Linked DNA regions of Saccharomyces cerevisiae S288C. Changing the gene in region 2 together with the main gene of any one other region gives a genetic interaction. Each region holds a gene or a part of one and is shown on either strand. Other genes may lie near its edges. The genes, in order: ECM7, FLO11 and UGA3.

Evidence for each region.
Region 1: mutations in FLO11 (region 2) and ECM7 together harm fitness more than expected from each alone (negative genetic interaction), as found in Saccharomyces cerevisiae (2 studies listed by BioGRID).
Region 3: of FLO11 (region 2) and UGA3, changing one suppresses a phenotype caused by changing the other (phenotypic suppression), as found in Saccharomyces cerevisiae (one study listed by BioGRID).

The regions. Positions count from the first base shown.
Region 1 is NC_001144.5:1,020,625-1,026,288, reverse strand, and holds ECM7 (Ecm7p), read right to left. Parts: upstream 3,665-5,664; coding exon 2,318-3,664; downstream 1-2,317. Other genes in the region: NGK1 (hexokinase), read right to left, coding at 1-1,075; GMC2 (Gmc2p), read right to left, coding at 1,452-1,634, 1,717-2,100; chromatin-silencing protein SIR3, read left to right, coding at 4,038-5,664. UniProt on the Saccharomyces cerevisiae protein: May be involved in cell wall organization and biogenesis.
Region 2 is NC_001141.2:389,638-397,841, forward strand, and holds the start of FLO11 (Flo11p), read right to left. Parts: upstream 4,039-8,204; coding exon 1-4,038. Other genes in the region: YIR020C (uncharacterized protein), read right to left, coding at 4,618-4,920; MRS1 (Mrs1p), read left to right, coding at 7,657-8,204. UniProt on the Saccharomyces cerevisiae protein: Homophilic binding protein that enables kin discrimination in heterogeneous yeast populations by mediating homotypic cell-cell interactions during flocculation, a reversible and asexual process in which cells adhere to form aggregates (flocs).
Region 3 is NC_001136.10:154,318-159,225, forward strand, and holds UGA3 (Uga3p), read left to right. Parts: upstream 1-2,000; coding exon 2,001-3,587; downstream 3,588-4,908. Other genes in the region: GLT1 (glutamate synthase (NADH)), read right to left, coding at 1-1,323; UGX2 (Ugx2p), read right to left, coding at 3,747-4,418. UniProt on the Saccharomyces cerevisiae protein: GABA-dependent positive regulation of genes required for catabolism of GABA (UGA4, UGA1, and UGA2).

The DNA.
Region 1 (5,664 bases), on a different chromosome or scaffold from region 2:
AAAATGCGGCTCTCTTGATTAATAGTCGTGCGATCTGACAAATTAGTGCATAATGTTCGTTTTCGAACCAAGCATTAGTACAGTCTTCTGCCAGCTGGCATACCAGTTCCCCATTGAACTCTACTGGGAAGTTTTTGGGGATTATGTTATATTGCAATAGAATATTTTTTAATGATAGGGGAAGCCATTTACCAGAAGTAACGCACTCTAGTGGCATTTCGTATGAGATTGCTCCATGAATGTCAAACGGTTGCAATGCAATGACATTTTTACCAATAAAGCCAATTTCAGAATTAATGAGAACATGTTTGAAATTTAATGTCTCCTTATTATAGCTTGACGGTAATGTTTCTCTCAGGGCATCTCTCTTGAAAGGTGGTAAATATCCGTATGGAACCTCAAAACATGCATTTGTACCAGTTCCTATTATTAATGAGATGGAATCGTTTTCGCATATAAATTTGCTTGTTAGTGAAACTGCAATTGCATCGTTTATTACATGACACACGTTCATGGTACAGAAAAATTCTTCGATATTTTCTGATATAATCCGGTGAAAGGAAGATTGGATGAGCTGTTTCACCGTGGATCCTTGAAGGGTGTCAGTCATCACAAATCCTTTTCCCATTGCAACTACCTCCCCTTCTGGATTTAGAGGAAAACTGAATGTCACGGAAACAAAAAATTTAGACGCCTCAGATGACTCGTTCTTTTTTTTTATATAACCATTTGCAGCCAGCCTGGTACATATTGTATAGATGATTTGATTAAAGAAATTCGAATCAACGATGTTGTAGGTAAGTTCGAAGGCATCATTGTATTCGATAACGATTTGGGGCAGAGAGATAATTGCAAATTTCAGTCTTGTCCCGCCGAAATCAATGGTCAGAATTTTGTCTTCAGGGTTCCATCGCGATCGTTTATCTGGGACTAAACACTGCGGGAGCATAGAAATCGTATTTGTCTGAAGCCGTGATAACAACTCCTCTTGGAATTGGTCAACTACATTCACTATGGAATCAGCGGGTAAAATCAAGCTTTCTAATTCCCGAGCTAGAGTGCTTTCAATTGTCATGTTCTGAACCTCCTTTTGTTAACTTTTTCTTTACTTGCTTATATGTGAAAGTTCGAGGGGTGGACGTTTATTTTTCTTTCTGGCTTACATTCTTGTGTTTATAATGATAACCGATATACTCAGTTAACTTCCCCGGTGTTCAGTATCCCTGAATAAAATTTTTTGCTATCTGGCGCTAACAATACCTGGCAAAAAAAAAAAAAACATATAAACAAAAAAAAAAAAAAAAAAAATTAACCCAACGAAGGGAACATGACTTCTTTTAGAGAGCCGAGTGATAAGGCCAGTTGTCGTAAAAGTAAATAAATAAAATCAAAAAAAGCAAATGTGAGAAATAGCTAACATTAGCAATATCGCAGATATATTTGAGTATGGCTCATCTATCATCTGTTAGTCTTTGAATAGTTTCCTTAATTTCATTTGCGGATCTTTCCATTTCAATATTTTTGTACTCTAAATGGCGCTCTTTCTTCTTCATCCACGTTTCAGCATTGAGAATGGAGTCACCACATCTTTCCACGTCTATTTGAAAAGCGGATTCACACCAAAGACGTTGTTGCTGTTATTAAATTTGCATTATTAGTAAAAGAACGTAGTAAAATTGAGATGGCACAGGATGCCTAGTTTCGACCTATACTTACTTTTGCTAGCCTTTCCATTTTTTCATATATTTCGTCCATGTCTTTTGTATATTGCTCAATAATGTTTACAGGAACAGTACAAAACAAATCCCAATCCATCTTTTCCTGTTGTTGTTTGGACATCATCCCATCTTGACTGGAGAGGTCTTTGTACGATTCCCGGATCAAATGAGTGATTTCATTAATTTTCTTGAGTACATCATTTTCCAGGATATGGTTTTGGAAGGTTTCCTGTGGATTGTTGATTTGCCATTCGGCGGCTAATTTGAAAAGACTTGGTATATTGTTGGTCACGTCCGGACTTTTTAATGAGTTGGTTCTTTCCAAGTTATTATCCTGGTCGTTCTCAGATGATTGCCTAGGGACTTCCGTAGTATCACTCATGGTTATAGTTCCGCTTTTCTCTTCTTCGTTGCTTAATGATGTTTAGTTCTGAAATAACGATTTTTTAAGCGCTTGGCAATTTCACAAGAAAAAGGTGAAAAAAGAAAAATAAGATTAAACGATGAATGCGATTTTTTGTTTCTGTTATTATTATTATATAATTAAAAACTAGACAAATATAGTATGCATATGCATTTTGAATGATGGGTGAAAGAATTCAAAACTGTAATGCTGACGAAGGCTTGATAACCCTTTGCATACTTTCTTCACTGTCGTTGCTTGACCGGAATCTTATGTCCTGCAATTCGAATTCCTCTCTAGTAGCAAATGGTTCGTGTTTGCCGCCATTGCTTATATTTGCGGTGGGATTTCCATGGTCTAAACTGGTGTTAGCATCATTTTCACTATTTAAGTCAACATCAGATGTTTTTCTTATTGTTGCCATAGTATCACTGTTTCTCATCAGTTCAGCCTCGCCCGAAGTAGACTGTCGTTGCGGATAACGTTGACTGTAAGAAGTTTCATCGTCTAGATCTGCATCAGTAAATACACCGGCTTGGTAGCCTAAGAATTTATCATCGATTCCACCTCCATAGGACGTGCCATTATCGGAAATACACCATTCTAAGCCAGACCAAGCTAAGCATGACACAGAAATCAAACCTGCAAAACACCACAGAAGCGCAAACCATGTAACTCCAAGATGGTAAGAAAACCCGAAGGCCTCTAATTCTGTATTAATTCTAGACTGAATAGTGTAGTTAACCCAGGCAAGGCTTATGCTACTTATCAGGCCCCCAATGAAAACAACTAGCGATAGTAGAGAGTTGATATGAACAAGTGCCCTTTCTTTGAGGGCGTTCATAAACCTTCCCTTTATGTAGTAGTACCATATCATGAAAAATAACATACACACCTGGAAACTAATAACTGCATAGAGTAAATGTAACACGTTGGCCTTTTTATGTTTTAAACTCCTCATGTAGGTCGTGTATGCAGAACTTTCTGCCTGTTGTGAACCGATTTTGTTGTATGCATAATCTAAAATGATATCTAAACCCAAGCTTTCTAAAACCTCACGATAATCAAAAAGATAGTCCGTTCCTATGCTACTGCAGGTACTCTTAGTAGTCGAATTCTTTACGCTATGCATATTTCCTTCAGAGTCGAATACTTCCACCATGGTATATGTTGAATCGCACCTCCCATAAAGCGACACTGTGATGTACTGAGGAACATTCTTTATCTGACTTTCGGTGTAAGCAGTCAATATATACAGTTCGGATGTTGTTAAGCCTACACCGTTATTTTCTTCTGTAGATGTCGACTGCTCCATAGACTCTCTCAACACGGTAAATAAACCCGTCGTAATATCAGCAGAGTAAGTATCCAGTCGTGACATGTACAATGTTCTTGGCGAAGAAAGGGGTCCGACAGTCAACGCCAACCCGAAAGAGATTATGAGTAATGTCGTCCCTAATCTTAGCCACTGTACCACTTTCTCAAGGGCTGTAAGGTTCTGGAATGGCCTGGCTATTGTATCTCGTATTCTTGACATCACCATTTATTTTCGATCCATTAGATATGCAAGGGTATTCGCAATGACTGATACACAAAGAAATGGTGTAAATGAAACTAAGTAGAGAGTTGACAGTGTTAAGCAAACAACGAATCCAGGGGAACAAAGTATTCGGGACGTTTGTTTATGCGGCGTCCAAAAGATGTATTTAAAGTTAACCATATTATGTATCAATCTAAATAAAGAAATAATTGTAAATTTTCATCGCATCAGTAATATGACCGCGAAAACGCTATTCTTTCCAAAAAAGTTAAAATGAACATAGTATGAAAAAGAAAAACACATAAGCAGCCCTTTCATCACCTTCCTTACAGGGGTTTAAGAAAGTTGTTTTGTTCTAACAATTGGATTAGCTAAAATGGCTAAAACATTGAAAGATTTGGACGGTTGGCAAGTTATCATTACAGATGATCAGGGGAGGGTTATTGACGACAACAATAGAAGAAGATCAAGAAAAAGAGGAGGAGAAAACGTATTTCTGAAAAGAATTTCTGATGGATTGAGTTTTGGGAAGGGTGAGAGCGTGATATTTAATGATAATGTGACGGAAACATATTCTGTCTACTTGATCCATGAGATCAGACTCAATACACTTAATAATGTTGTGGAGATTTGGGTTTTTTCTTACTTGAGATGGTTTGAACTCAAACCAAAACTGTACTACGAACAATTCAGGCCAGATCTAATAAAGGAAGATCATCCTTTAGAATTTTACAAAGATAAATTTTTCAACGAAGTAAATAAGAGCGAGTTATATTTAACTGCTGAGCTATCAGAGATTTGGCTTAAGGATTTCATTGCAGTTGGACAGATACTGCCAGAGTCACAATGGAATGATAGTAGTATCGATAAAATAGAGGATAGAGATTTTCTAGTACGTTATGCATGCGAACCTACTGCGGAAAAGTTTGTACCAATTGATATTTTTCAAATCATAAGAAGAGTAAAGGAAATGGAACCCAAACAATCTGATGAATACTTGAAAAGAGTATCTGTACCAGTGAGTGGGCAGAAGACAAATAGACAGGTGATGCATAAGATGGGAGTTGAAAGATCTTCAAAAAGACTAGCAAAGAAACCTTCAATGAAAAAAATTAAAATCGAGCCCTCTGCAGATGATGACGTAAATAATGGAAATATACCGTCTCAGCGAGGAACGTCAACAACTCATGGTTCAATTTCTCCCCAAGAAGAGTCTGTTTCCCCTAACATCTCATCGGCGTCCCCTTCTGCGCTCACATCACCTACAGATTCTTCGAAAATTTTACAAAAAAGATCTATATCAAAGGAACTAATTGTTTCAGAGGAAATACCAATAAACTCTTCAGAACAGGAATCCGATTATGAGCCAAACAATGAAACATCTGTGCTTTCAAGTAAACCTGGGTCAAAGCCAGAGAAGACATCTACAGAACTCGTTGACGGCCGAGAGAATTTTGTATATGCAAATAATCCAGAAGTGAGTGATGATGGTGGGCTTGAAGAGGAAACAGATGAAGTTAGTTCAGAAAGTTCTGATGAAGCAATAATACCAGTAAATAAAAGACGTGGCGCTCACGGAAGCGAATTGAGCAGTAAAATTAGAAAAATCCACATTCAAGAAACACAAGAATTTTCTAAAAATTACACTACAGAAACAGATAACGAAATGAACGGAAATGGAAAACCTGGAATTCCCAGGGGCAACACCAAAATTCATAGTATGAACGAAAATCCTACACCAGAAAAAGGTAATGCAAAGATGATTGATTTCGCTACTTTGTCAAAGTTGAAAAAAAAATATCAGATAATTTTAGACCGGTTTGCACCAGATAATCAAGTAACAGATTCCTCCCAATTGAACAAATTAACAGACGAACAGTCAAGCTTGGACGTTGCAGGCCTTGAGGATAAGTTTAGAAAAGCATGCTCTTCATCTGGAAGAGAAACCATTCTGTCAAATTTTAACGCTGATATAAATTTAGAGGAATCAATTAGAGAATCTT
Region 2 (8,204 bases):
ACCTTGGTAAGTACTCGAGATAGAAGGAACAGAGTATGTAGCGACTGCAGAACCAGAAGCAGATTGTAGTGGACCAGTTAGAGATGGAGATGTGACAACGGGAGCCACGCTAGAAGCAGAAGCTGTTGTAGCTAGTTGGGATGTAGTCTTGATTGAAATAGGGTTGGTTGCTGTGGCCACAGTTTCGTAATTCTTGGCACCATTTGAACCTGGAATCAAAGTGGTTATGTAAGTGGTTGGGATGGACTTGGTTGTGTAACCAGTTGTTGTTTCGCCAGCGGAGTTAGTACCAACAGATGACTCAGTGGTAATAACTGTGGTTGGAATAGCCGTCGTGACAGGGGTGGTAGCCGAAGGTGCAGTGTTTTCGCCTGCGCTTGCAGAACTTACGATAGTCTTAGCAGAGCATACAGATGTAGTTTCACCGGCAGCGTTTGTAGCAGCAGAACATTCAGTAGTGGTTATTGTAGTTGGTACGGCATTAGTGGCAGGAGTTACTGGTGCACTTGGAGCCAAAGTGGTTACATAGGTGGTTGGTACAGACTTTGTTGTGTAACCAGTTGTCGTCTTACCAGCGGAGTTAGTACCCGTAGAGGATTCAGTGGTAACAACGGTGGTTGTGACAGCTGTTGTAACAAGGGTGGTAGCTTCAGTAGTGTATTCGCCAGTACCAGTTGAACAAGGAACAGTGGTTGTGACAGTCTTTGGAGAGCATCCAGAGGTAGTTTCACCGGCAGAGTTTGTACCTGTAGAGCAAACCGTAGTAGTAATAGTGGTTGGGGTGAAATTGGTAACCGTAGTGACTGATGGAGTTGGAGCAATTGTGGTTAGGTAAGTGGTTGGAATGTTTTTGGTGACAAATGTAGTTGTAATTTCACCACCTGGTTTTGTACTAGTAGAATACTCAGTAGTAACGACGGTGGTTGAGACAACTGTAGTTACAGGTGTGGTAGGTGAAGTGGTTGTTGATTCCGAGGCGGTTTCGCTTGGACTGGTTGAACATGGAACAGTAGTTGTAATGGTCTTTGGAGAGCATCCAGAGGTAGTTTCACCGGCAGAGTTTGTTCCTGTAGAGCAAACTGTAGTAGTAATAGTGGTTGTTGATGATGTAGTGACAGAAGTCGTAGTTGTAGTTGGAACAGTAGTTGTAACGGTCTTTGGAGAGCATCCAGAGGTAGTTTCACCGGCAGAGTTTGTTCCTGTAGAGCAAACCGTAGTGGTAATAGTGGTTGTTGATGGTGTAGTGACAGAAGTCGTAGTTTTAGTTGGAACAATGGTAGTTTCGGTTGTAGAAGAAACAGAGGTTTCTGTTTGACTGCCAGGGTATTTGGATGATGATGGAGTGACAGTAGTGCCAGTAGAAAAGCTTTCAGTAGTAGAGCTGAATGGAATTGAAGATGGAGCGGAGGAAGTGATGTTGCTAGAGGAAGATGGGGTTGGTACTGGTGCTACAGAGCTTTCAGTGGTGGAGCTGGATACTGGAGCAGAAGAGCTTTCAGTAGTAGAGCTTGATGGGGTTGGTACTGGAACAGAAGAGCTTTCAGTGCTAGAGCTGAATGGGGTTGAAGATGGAGCGGAGGAAGTGATGTTGCTAGAGGAAGATGGGGTTGGTACTGGTGCTACAGAGCTTTCAGTAGTAGAGCTTGATGGGGTTGGTACTGGAGCAGAAGAGCTTTCGGTAGTAGAGCTGGATGGAGTTGGCACTGGAGCAGAAGAGCTTTCAGTAGTAGAGCTGGATGGAGTTGGTACTGGAGCAGAAGAGCTTTCAGTGGTAGAGCTGGTTACTGGAGCAGAAGAGCTTTCAGTAGTAGAGCTGGATGGAGTTGGTACTGGAGCAGAAGAGCTTTCAGTAGTAGAGCTGGATGGAGTTGGTACTGGAGCAGAAGAGCTTTCAGTAGTAGAGCTGGATGGAGTTGGTACTGGAGCAGAAGAGCTTTCAGTGGTAGAGCTGGTTACTGGAGCAGAAGAGCTTTCAGTGGTAGAGCTGGTTACTGGAGCAGAAGAGCTTTCAGTAGTAGAGCTGGATGGAGTTGGTACTGGAGCAGAAGAGCTTTCAGTAGTAGAGCTGGATGGGGTTGGTACTGGAGCAGAAGAGCTTTCAGTAGTAGAGCTGGATGGAGTTGGTACTGGAGCAGAAGAGCTTTCAGTGGTAGAGCTGGTTACTGGAGCAGAAGAGCTTTCAGTAGTAGAGCTTGATGGGGTTGGAGCTGGAGCAGAAGAGCTTTCAGTAGTAGAGCTTGATGGAGTTGGTACTGGAGCAGAAGAGCTTTCAGTAGTAGAGCTTGATGGAGTTGGCACTGGAGCAGAAGAGCTTTCAGTGGTGGAGCTGGTTACTGGAGTAGAAGAGCTTTCAGTAGTAGAGCTGGATGGAGTTGGTACTGGAGCAGAAGAGCTTTCAGTGGTAGAGCTGGTTACTGGAGCAGAAGAGCTTTCAGTGGTGGAGCTTGATGGGGTTGGAGCTGGAGCAGAAGAGCTTTCAGTAGTAGAGCTGGATGGAGTTGGTACTGGAGCAGAAGAGCTTTCAGTGGTAGAGCTGGTTACTGGAGCAGAAGAGCTTTCAGTAGTAGAGCTGGATGGAGTTGGTACTGGAGCAGAAGAGCTTTCAGTGGTAGAGCTGGTTACTGGAGCAGAAGAGCTTTCAGTAGTAGAGCTGGATGGAGTTGGTACTGGAGCAGAAGAGCTTTCAGTGGTAGAGCTGGTTACTGGAGCAGAAGAGCTTTCAGTGGTAGAGCTGGTTACTGGAGCAGAAGAGCTTTCAGTGGTAGAGCTGGTTACTGGAGCAGAAGAGCTTTCAGTGGTAGAGCTGGTTACTGGAGCAGAAGAGCTTTCAGTAGTAGAGCTGGATGGAGTTGGTACTGGAGCAGAAGAGCTTTCAGTGGTAGAGCTGGTTACTGGAGCAGAAGAGCTTTCAGTGGTAGAGCTGGTTACTGGAGCAGAAGAGCTTTCAGTAGTAGAGCTTGATGGGGTTGGTACTGGAGCAGAAGAGCTTTCAGTGGTAGAGCTGGTTACTGGAGCAGAAGAGCTTTCAGTAGTAGAGCTGGATGGAGTTGGTACTGGAGCAGAAGAACTTTCAGTAGTAGAGCTTGATGGGGTTGGTACTGGAGTAGTAGTCTTCTTAGTGCATGTCTTAGATGTGGTAGTTTTCTTCTTTGTACATGGAGTGGTGTCGTGATGAGGAGGTGTAGGCTTTTCCTTTGTGCATGAGGTAGTGGTTGGGGGTGTAGGCTTTTCCTTAGTGCATGAGGTAGTGGTTGGTGTAGCAGGAGCGGTGGTTGATGATGATGTAGATGACTCGGAAGTGCTAGATGTAGTGGTAGATGACTCGGAAGTGCTAGATGTAGTGGTAGATGACTCGGAAGTGCTAGATGTAGTGGTAGATGACTCGGAAGTGCTAGATGTAGTGGTAGATGACTTCGTACCGCCACAATTATTGTCACAATCTATGTTCCAATAGAAGCCTGGGAAATCCGTTTGAGAGTGGCCTTGATTGTCATAGTTGTTACAACCAGTAGACAAATCAAAAGATGTAGTTCCCCATTGCCAGGAGCTTGCATATTGAGCGGCACTACCTTGCAAATACTCGAATTGAATTTGGAAGTTAGGCATCCACACCTGACAGCTGTTGACATCTTGTGTGGCATAAACTTCAAAAGTGGCTGTGAAATCAGTTGGGTTGTCAATCAAATAGGTATTTTCGTTGTAACCGTATAGTTGGACGGTACCTTTTGGACCAGTGACACCAATGATTTTCAAAGACCATAGATACTTCAGGTCAATATTTTCTTTACCTTTGACATGAATAGTGATTTGGTATGTGTTGTCTTGAACCCAAGAAACGGAAGTCACATCCAAAGTATACTGCATGATATTTTGCTGGTCCATGTGCCAATTGAAGTCTAAGTTGGGACAGCCATTAACGATAGAATTACAGCTAGTTCCTTCGGAGGATCCTCTTGGAACTAGTGCAGTTGGAAAACCCAAAGCCGAGTTAAATAGAAGCGAAAGGACCAAATAAGCGAGTAGAAATGGTCTTTGCATAGTGTGCGTATATGGATTTTTGAGGCCTACAAAAGTATATTTTAATTAGAACCACAACATGACGAGGGATAATAACTGATGAATAGGGTGCTTTTTATACGTTTATTTTAGGAAGCAAGAGATCCTTTTTATCAATTGGGAACCCTTCAACAATTTGTACTGGTAAGTCTATGAGTTATCCGTTCTTGAACTAGAAGAGAGCGCAGTAACGTAAATGCTTGAACATATTTGTTAAGGTAAATAAAACTGCCCTAATTTTTTATTTAATTCGAACACGGACATTCCTCAGATAAGACAAGTCTAACAGTTAATTCAAAGTAGAAAGAGCTTAATTTCTCCGTAAAAGAACGAAGTATATTGCGATGATGCCTTGAATCCCAATTGGTAACTCTATGACATTTTTGTAAAGGTTACCTCATCAGAAGAGAACGGACCTAAAAAGATGACCCACATTTCTCTAGAAACAATCGTACCCTAATAGTTGCTTTAAATTGCTCAGCGGTCAAGAAAACGTATCATAATGTTATTCTATTCTTGAGCAGGCACTTTTAGGGTTGGGCAATGTCCTCAAAGTAAATATTAGTAAACAAACGAATACCTCCAAATCCATTGAATTGAAAATCCATTCCAAGCTCTGCGCTTCCAATTGTTAATCACACCACCGATAGGCAATAGAAGTTCTGTCCGTGAAGATACCGCAGAATGAGTTGTGCCCGTATTGTTGCACCTAATTACGGAATCCCAAGGTATGCGATGTCCCAGTACGACCGTTAAAAAGACAACATGAATGACTGATCTGTTTAAGAGTATAGGCAGAAATAAAAAAGTTTGTGCAATGCCTGACAAAAAAAAGCTAATTTTTCTTTTAAGAAAGAATGTCATTCTTTTACCGCAAAGTTAATTTCTGCCTACAATCACCTTCTAAACGCTCGGACTGATTGCCTTGAGCAATCAGCAGTTCTTTGAAGCCACTGTCGCAACAAAGAAAAAGAAAAGGGAAGTCCATTCTTAGCCCCAAAGAAAAGGATGACAAAAAAAAGAAAAAAAGTTAACTCGTACCAGTAAAGCCTAATTTTGCAGTGATCGCTAGCCCCAGAGAAGGACTAAAGACAAAAAGGACCCACTCGATAGGAAAATAACGGCCGAAACTCTTTGGGCGACATTTTCTTGTTAAGAAAACAGAAGAAAAAAACCTTAATTTGAACTTTCCAGGCACACCCAAAAAGGATTATGCTTATGTAATGCCACATTCCGAGAAACTGAAAGGCAAAAAAGAAAAAGCCTTTTTTTTCCTGCCGCGAAAGTTTAATTTGCCTACCGGCGTTCCTATTGGAGTCAGGAAAAGATCACTAGGAATTACAGCTGTGAGAACATACTCTGGGGCTGGCGTAGGCACACAATCCGGTATTCCTAAAGTTTTGTGGTACAAAACTCCATACCTAAAACATAAAACAAATCTCACCCGTGGATCCTTTTATTCATAATACCCCGTCCTGCACGCCGTGGAACTGAGTCTAAGTTGACAAGGCTACGAATGAATTTTGGGAAATGCATACGAAGAGGACTGAAAAAGTAGCAGGTTTCATGTGGTGGAAATACCGATTAGCGCATTCACATTCGTGTTAGGGTCCGTTTTCCCGCACAGCTTTCGAAATATGAAACAATGTCCGTCTGCGTCAGCAGCTCAGATAAGGAAAAAAGAGATGGTAAAAAACATTCGAGAAAAACAAGTACTGCAGGTGCATGTCCTCAATGCATGCAAGTGACCGTTTTGGGGTGGTGAGAACCATCACTAATTAAACTTTTCCTATTTTTTGTCTTTACAATATTCATTAGTCTTCATTCGCATTGGGTGTTCTACAGAAATGCTGGGCAAATCTGGAGATGGGTTGATACGCTAGCGTTCCTACTTGTAAGGGAGCAAAGATGTTAGATTTTTCTGTTTTGGAATTTTAGCTTTCTGTCCACCTTAGGTGTATGGCTCGGCTCTCGATGAGAATAGGAAAGTATTCCGCACTAACCGATGGGGGGTTGTTCTTACCGTAAAACCACACTTGAAAGCTATACGTAGTTGGAACCCCAAAACGACGGTATGAAATGAGGGATACATTAGGGGACAAAAAGGACTAGTAATTTCTTTGAAATTTGTAATAATAATTCGAAAAGTTGAGCATCCTTAATCTGACATGGCACACAGATGAAAAGGTGTTGAAAGCACTGTAAAAGAGGTTAAGAAATATCCTCTTTTCAACGAGCTTCATTTTGAGTATAATATGTTTATATTTGTCGCTGGCCCTGAGATGCTCAACTGTAAGTAAAACATCGGATGTGTGGATAAAAAGAACATGGAAAACGAGTGCAGCAACGACTATATTTAAAATAGTATCATTCATAATTCGATAGATGGACTTTTCAGCTACTTGTAAACGGCGAAATTGTGTCTAAGTTGTGAATGAGCTTTTCATTTTCATTTGCGTACCGAAGTGGTAAAACTGACGACCTAAAGTACGATATACGGAATAAAGCAAGTTCTAATACTCTCTGCAGTTTGACCAGTGCTACTTGGCGCTGTTCATTCCAATTAGCCGTAAATTTGTGAAATAGATCCCAAGATAATCTCCGTTTTATTTGCTTCCAAAGAGGTTATCTTTTTAATAGTTGGCATTTTCTAGCTTCTTGGTTGCTATAAGGCATAGTTGAAGTGCAGTGAGAGGAAGAGGGGAACTCACGGAAAGAGACTCCTTATACTTTTGTCAACCGGTGTGTTCCAAAATTCGCTAGTTAAACGTTTTATTAGCAGCGGTCCCATTGAGCCAAAACCCCGCTGAGCGTTGCGACACAATCTGATCATACCACATAATCATTGCAGCGCCTACTTTTTAACTTCTAGCAGCCAAATTGTTATTCAGATTTAGTTGGCGGTACGACTCCTTACAGCAGTAAATTATTCGAATTAGTAACAAACGAGTGATTGGTATGTGGAGATAGGAAACGAAGACTGAGCAGAAGCACCCACGCTAAGTAATTGTATTCTTGAATTGGGAGCCTGAAGAATTATGATCAAGCTCAGCATCTTTCCGTAGCGTCTTCGAGAATTTGTCCTGTGAGCGGAAGGTTGAAAGTTATAAATGATGTCTTATTTTTTTGCATGATCTCCCCAGACCCAGATGTCATCTGTAAAGAATTTAGTAGGACAATTGAAGACGCTGTCTTCCAATTGATTCAGCGAAACCTTTTCTTAAGATCATTCATATTCTTGTCAAAACACAGATCAGCGTCATATTATTCTTGTCTCGACATTAGGCCGTAATTTCGTCGAAGAAAAATGATCTATGTCATTGTAAATATCTACAATTCCAGCTATTTACGATAATCACGTTAGAATCTTTTGAATGAATGTCTTTCGATACTTTTCCACGCTTGAAAGTTCGCATTCTTTTGGCGTTTTGTATCCTTATTATTCCAAACTTTGATCCGTTTCAACAACGGAAAAGGGAAAAATGAAAAAGTGCTGGTAAGTGAAAAATTATGAAAACTCGCTAAACGGCGAAGTTTAGATGTGAGACAAGCAGCAATGGAAGTATAGGTTGGTATTGAATATCTGTGGTTACTCTAAAGATGTCTCCGAAGAATATAACAAGGTCGGTGATCCCGGCTATAGATTTGTATTGCCGCAAAGCAAATTTTAAAACTCTAAAATCATTGTCGATGATCCTAGGTAGTAAAAAAGAATGGTATGACACTAAAAAGGCGCCATTGAGAACCTTTTTGGTCTCTCGATGTGGCATTTTCGAGCAGTTGAGGGGTCGTCTCGTTGAAGATGGCAAAGTCAACTTGTTTAGTGTTTTCCTGACAAACGACTCATTTTCTTTTTGCAAGATGACCGTTGATGATAAGTTCAACACTAGCTTGGTCGATTGGCAAAAAATACCCTTTGACAGTACATTTGCAACTGACAGAAGACAGAATATCAGTTTACTACCTGTTGATACACTGTTTGCAACTGAAAAGATCATATCGATTCTTGGTGTATCTCCTAATATGACGAATCTTGTTTCTATAGAAAGAGAGCGATCAGACCTGGTGGATTTTAATTGTAAACTGCAATCAAACATCCTAGAACACCTACTATACGCGAAATGCCAAGGAGTGTACGTAACTTCTAC
Region 3 (4,908 bases), on a different chromosome or scaffold from region 2:
TTTTTGAACAACCAATGAATTTTCGATAGGAATGACACCTACCTCTGAAGCACAGATAACTCTGTCATCACTAGTGATGTAATAACGACAAGGTCTTAAACCATTTCTATCCAATATAGCACCACAGTAACGTCCATCAGTGAAAGTTAACAAAGCTGGACCATCCCAAGGTTCCATCAGACATGCAGCCCAGTCGTACCATGCTTTTAGGTCAGAATCCATATCCTTATGATACGCTTCAGGAACCATCATCATAACAGCTTCAGGTAGAGATAATGTGCCATTAATAGTCAATAGTTCTAAAACGTTATCCAATGCAGCTGAATCAGAACCACCTTCTTCGATAATTGGGTATAGTTTGTCTAACTCATCTTTGAAAGTTGCTGAATTCATCACACCTTCTCTGGAGCGCATCCAATTCTTGTTACCTCTTAAGGTGTTAATTTCACCATTATGAGCTAGCCAACGTAAAGGTTGAGCTCTATCCCAAGAGGGGAAAGTATTAGTGGAAAATCTTGAATGGACCAACGCCATGTGGGATTTGAAATGCGCATTAGTCAAGTCGGGATAGTAGTTATACACTTGAGCTGGCGTCAATTGACCCTTGTAAACAATGGTGGTATTGTTTAGGGAACAAACATAGAACCAGTTTTCCAGTCCTATTTGAAGAGAGGCCTCCTTCCTTAAAAGATACAATTGAGTTCTAAATTTAGTTTCATTAAACTCCGGTTGTTTTTCATCATACAATGGAACCAATAATGGCTGTAGAATAGTAGGTTCACGAGATAATGCAACGTCTCCTAAAATAGTAGAATCTACGGGGACGTTTCTCCAACCTAATACGGATAAGTTGAAGGATGCAGCTAAATCCTCGAAAATCTTCTGACACTTAATTAAATTTTTCTTGTTATTTTTTTCGTTCTTCTTGAAGAAGACGTTACCTACGGCGTATTTGCCCATCTCAGGTATGTCTAGATCAAGATCTAACTTGAATTCTCTTTTCATAAATTCGTGAGGAATACCTAGCAGAATACCGGCACCGTCACCGTTCCCATCAGATGAGACGGCACCACGATGTGTCATATTCACTAAAAGATATCTAGCGTCAGTAACAATCTTGTGAGACTGTTCACCATGCTTATTTGCTACGAAACCGACACCACAAGCGTCATGTTCATAATCAGGGTCGTAAAGTCCTCGTTTGTCCGGAATCACATTTGCCCAAGATTTATGAAGATGGTGTTCATCGTTATAGTTTTGAATTGTCCCACCTTCGTAAGCTTCTTCCAATGGATCGAAATTGTCTGATTTCAACACTGGCATGCTTTCTTTTCTAATTCTTTTTCTAGTTCTTCAAAATAAATAAATGGCAAATAGATTAAGAAAAAAGAGAGAGTAGAAAGACAAAAATAAATAAAAAAAAACTGAAGCAGAAAAATAAATAAATAAGTTAAACGTTAATCACTACCTCAATGAGCTAAAAGAAGGGGAAGAAAGAGCAACTGAGAGTATCCGTCTGCGTAGTATAGGACTGAGATAGCAATTTCCTATCTTCCTATGATGTGGAGACGATTAGTTTGGTGTGTTATCAAGTAAGATATAAGAATTGATTAATTTGGTAAGAAATGAAACAATAGGACGAAAAATACAATAAGATAAGGAAGACCATCAGAACTTATGAATGACTAAGAAAAGCAGTTTATATTTTTTTTTTGGGCAATTTATTGCTTCTTTTTTTTACGTTTTGCGGGCATCACGTTCGTCGTGACATATGACTTGAAAAATGTGCAAAAGCTTATCGGAGCCAATCGGATTGACGCATTAAAACCGAAGTGTATTAGGACCAAATTTGCGCTGTATAGGGTTGAACGGTAGGGCTACCAGGGTCTGAGTCATCAAAGAAAAAGAAATTACAATAAGAGTCTTACTTAAGATGATATAGAATTGTTGTTATTGTTCATGTATGGATGCCAAGAAAACAAAGTTTTTTAAAGTGAGGTATGAATTATGGCGTGGAGAAGCTGAAATTGAAATATTCGAAGCATGGGTGTATTACTTGCAAGATCAGAAAGAAGAGATGCTCTGAAGATAAACCTGTGTGCCGGGACTGTCGTCGATTAAGTTTTCCCTGTATCTATATATCAGAATCTGTTGATAAGCAGTCTTTGAAAAAAATAAAGGCAGATATACAGCACCAGTTGATCAGCAAGAAAAGAAAGCATGCTCCTGACAGTGCTCAGAAAGCGGCCGTGGCCACCCGTACTCGACGGGTCGGTAGCGACGAACAGGATAACCAGGTATATTTGTCAAAACCGCTGGAAGATTGCATTTCTCAGAAGCTGGACTCTATGGGATTGCAGCTGTACAACTACTACAGGTCTCACCTTGCAAACATAATTTCCATCGCGCCCATGAACCAGAACTACTATCTGAACATTTTCTTGCCAATGGCCCACGAGAATGATGGTATATTGTTTGCTATTCTTGCTTGGTCAGCTAATCATTTGTCTATATCATCATCAAATGAGCTGCGAAAGGATGAAATATTTGTCAACTTGGCGAACAAGTATACATACATGTCGTTATCGCATCTAAAGACAAACGAGGGCTCAAGTGCCTGTGCTAAACTGGGGTTTCTATATTCACTAGCACAAATCCTAATCTTATGTGGTTCAGAGATATGTCAGGGTGATGTGAAATTTTGGAAGATATTATTGAATATAGGAAAAAATTTGATCGAAAACCATGTGGGCAAGGATGTCTCACGGATACTAACCACTACTACAGAAGAACCCTCCCTAGAGGAGAGGATAATCTTCCCCAATTTCAATTCCGTTGTTAAGTACTGGCTGATTGTGAATTTTATATATCATGATATTTTGAATTTCAATACAACGTCCTTCCCGATCGAACAATACGAGAAATTCTTCCAAAGGGATCAGAACTCTTTACCCAGCTCAGCCAACTTTATTGAGTCAATAGACTCGCCAATTGAGGAAATAGACCCTTTAATTGGCATCAACAAGCCTATTTTACTACTATTGGGACAAGTCACAAATTTGACGAGGTTTTTGCAGACTATGGAACAGGAAGAAATGCTAGAGCATGGCGATAAAATTTTGAGTTTGCAAGTCGAGATTTATAAATTACAACCTTCGCTTATGGCGCTGGAACATTTGGATGATGAAAAGAAATTTTACTATTTAGAACTATTCGAGATAATGAAAATTTCTACCTTAATGTTCTTTCAATTAACTTTATTAAAGATTGACAAAGATTCGCTGGAACTACAGATACTGAGAAACAAATTGGACTCGAAGCTAGACAAGGTCATCGGAACTTTTTTGGAAGGATCGTTATGCTTCCCACTTTTCATTTACGGTGTATGCATTCAGGTAGAAGATATGGAGAAAAAAATAGATTTGGAAGCCAAATTTGACGACATTTTAAAACGATATAAATGTTACAATTTCCAAAATGCTAGATTATTGATACGGAAAATTTGGCAAAACGAGGCTGATGGCATCAGTGAGCATGACCTGGTCCACATGATTGACGAATTAGATTACAATATTAATTTTGCCTGAGCAGCATATATTTTCTTTCCCCGCCCCCTGGGTGTCTTAAATTATTGTTTCACCACACAAACATATATATGTTCTTTTTTTTTTTTGTAGGACGTACGGATTCAAAAACAATTTATACCTATACAATGTAGAAATGCTAACGTTGAGACATAGAAGTAATTATTTAATTAACCATTTTAGGTGATTATTTTCAGGGGTGTCCGAGTCCACCTCTACAACATCCACCTGCCCGGTTTGATACCTGTAATCGCCTGTCTTGGAGTCCTCCACAAAGCTTATGCTTCTCTCAGATTTCCTGCGTGGCCTATCCATTATGGCTGCTCCTGCATACGACGTGCCAGTGCCGCCAATCATATCTATATCATGATTGCTTTCCCCGTCGCTTGTACTATCTTCATTCGAGTGGACGTCATGAGCCCATACAGATTTATACCGATTTGCTCTCGGAAATTCATGGCCATCTAGCACTTGTATTCTTTGGTAGTGATCACTATCATTATCCTCGTCACTCTCGTCCCTTTCACAAACGGGGCTTTCCCTTCTCTGCTTTGCAGTCCTTGTTAATTTAGTCTTAGACTTCATTTTAGCTCTTTTATTAGATTTTGTCTTTAATTTGCCCTTGATCTTCAAAATTAACTCATCAAAGTTGTCCTCGTGTGCATCATATACCACCTTATATGATTGTTGGTATTGTGTGGCGAATAAGTCCTGGTTCCAGGCAAAACCTTGACTTTGAGATACAGATATTTTAAAATTTGGCCTTATTTCTGCACTATATGTAAATACCGAACTGGTATTTGAGTATACAATAAGTTTCTCCTTATCCTCCATGACTCTTCAGTAGCGGTTATGAACACGATATAACTATCTGCATTTAACGCTGGTACTGATTTCAATTTATCCTTATCAAATGATACGCTCTTTCCCTTTAAAAAGCGCCCTTACCTCGTTCCGAACGGCGCTAGTAAGAATTTCATCAAATTGCCCTTCTTGTGGGGGGATGCTCATCACAGACTACTGAATATGCATCACAGAAAAGACAAAAAGAACCATTAACATGATTCTGCATATATTTGAATGATTAATCCATGGTATTGATTTAAGGCGGTAAGAAGGAAAATTTAAAATTTGGATATTACCATCTTCTTCTACACTCATATATATTCCTAATTTCCTTTGCATCAGGTCAATCGTGACAGTTGTTGCTTATAAATGCGATTATTTTCTGCGTAATATCCATAATTACTTCAAGAACCCCTTAGGTGACAACCGAAAGTCAGCAGTCACTTAATAGTATTTAGTGTCAGAATTTGTTGGCCTA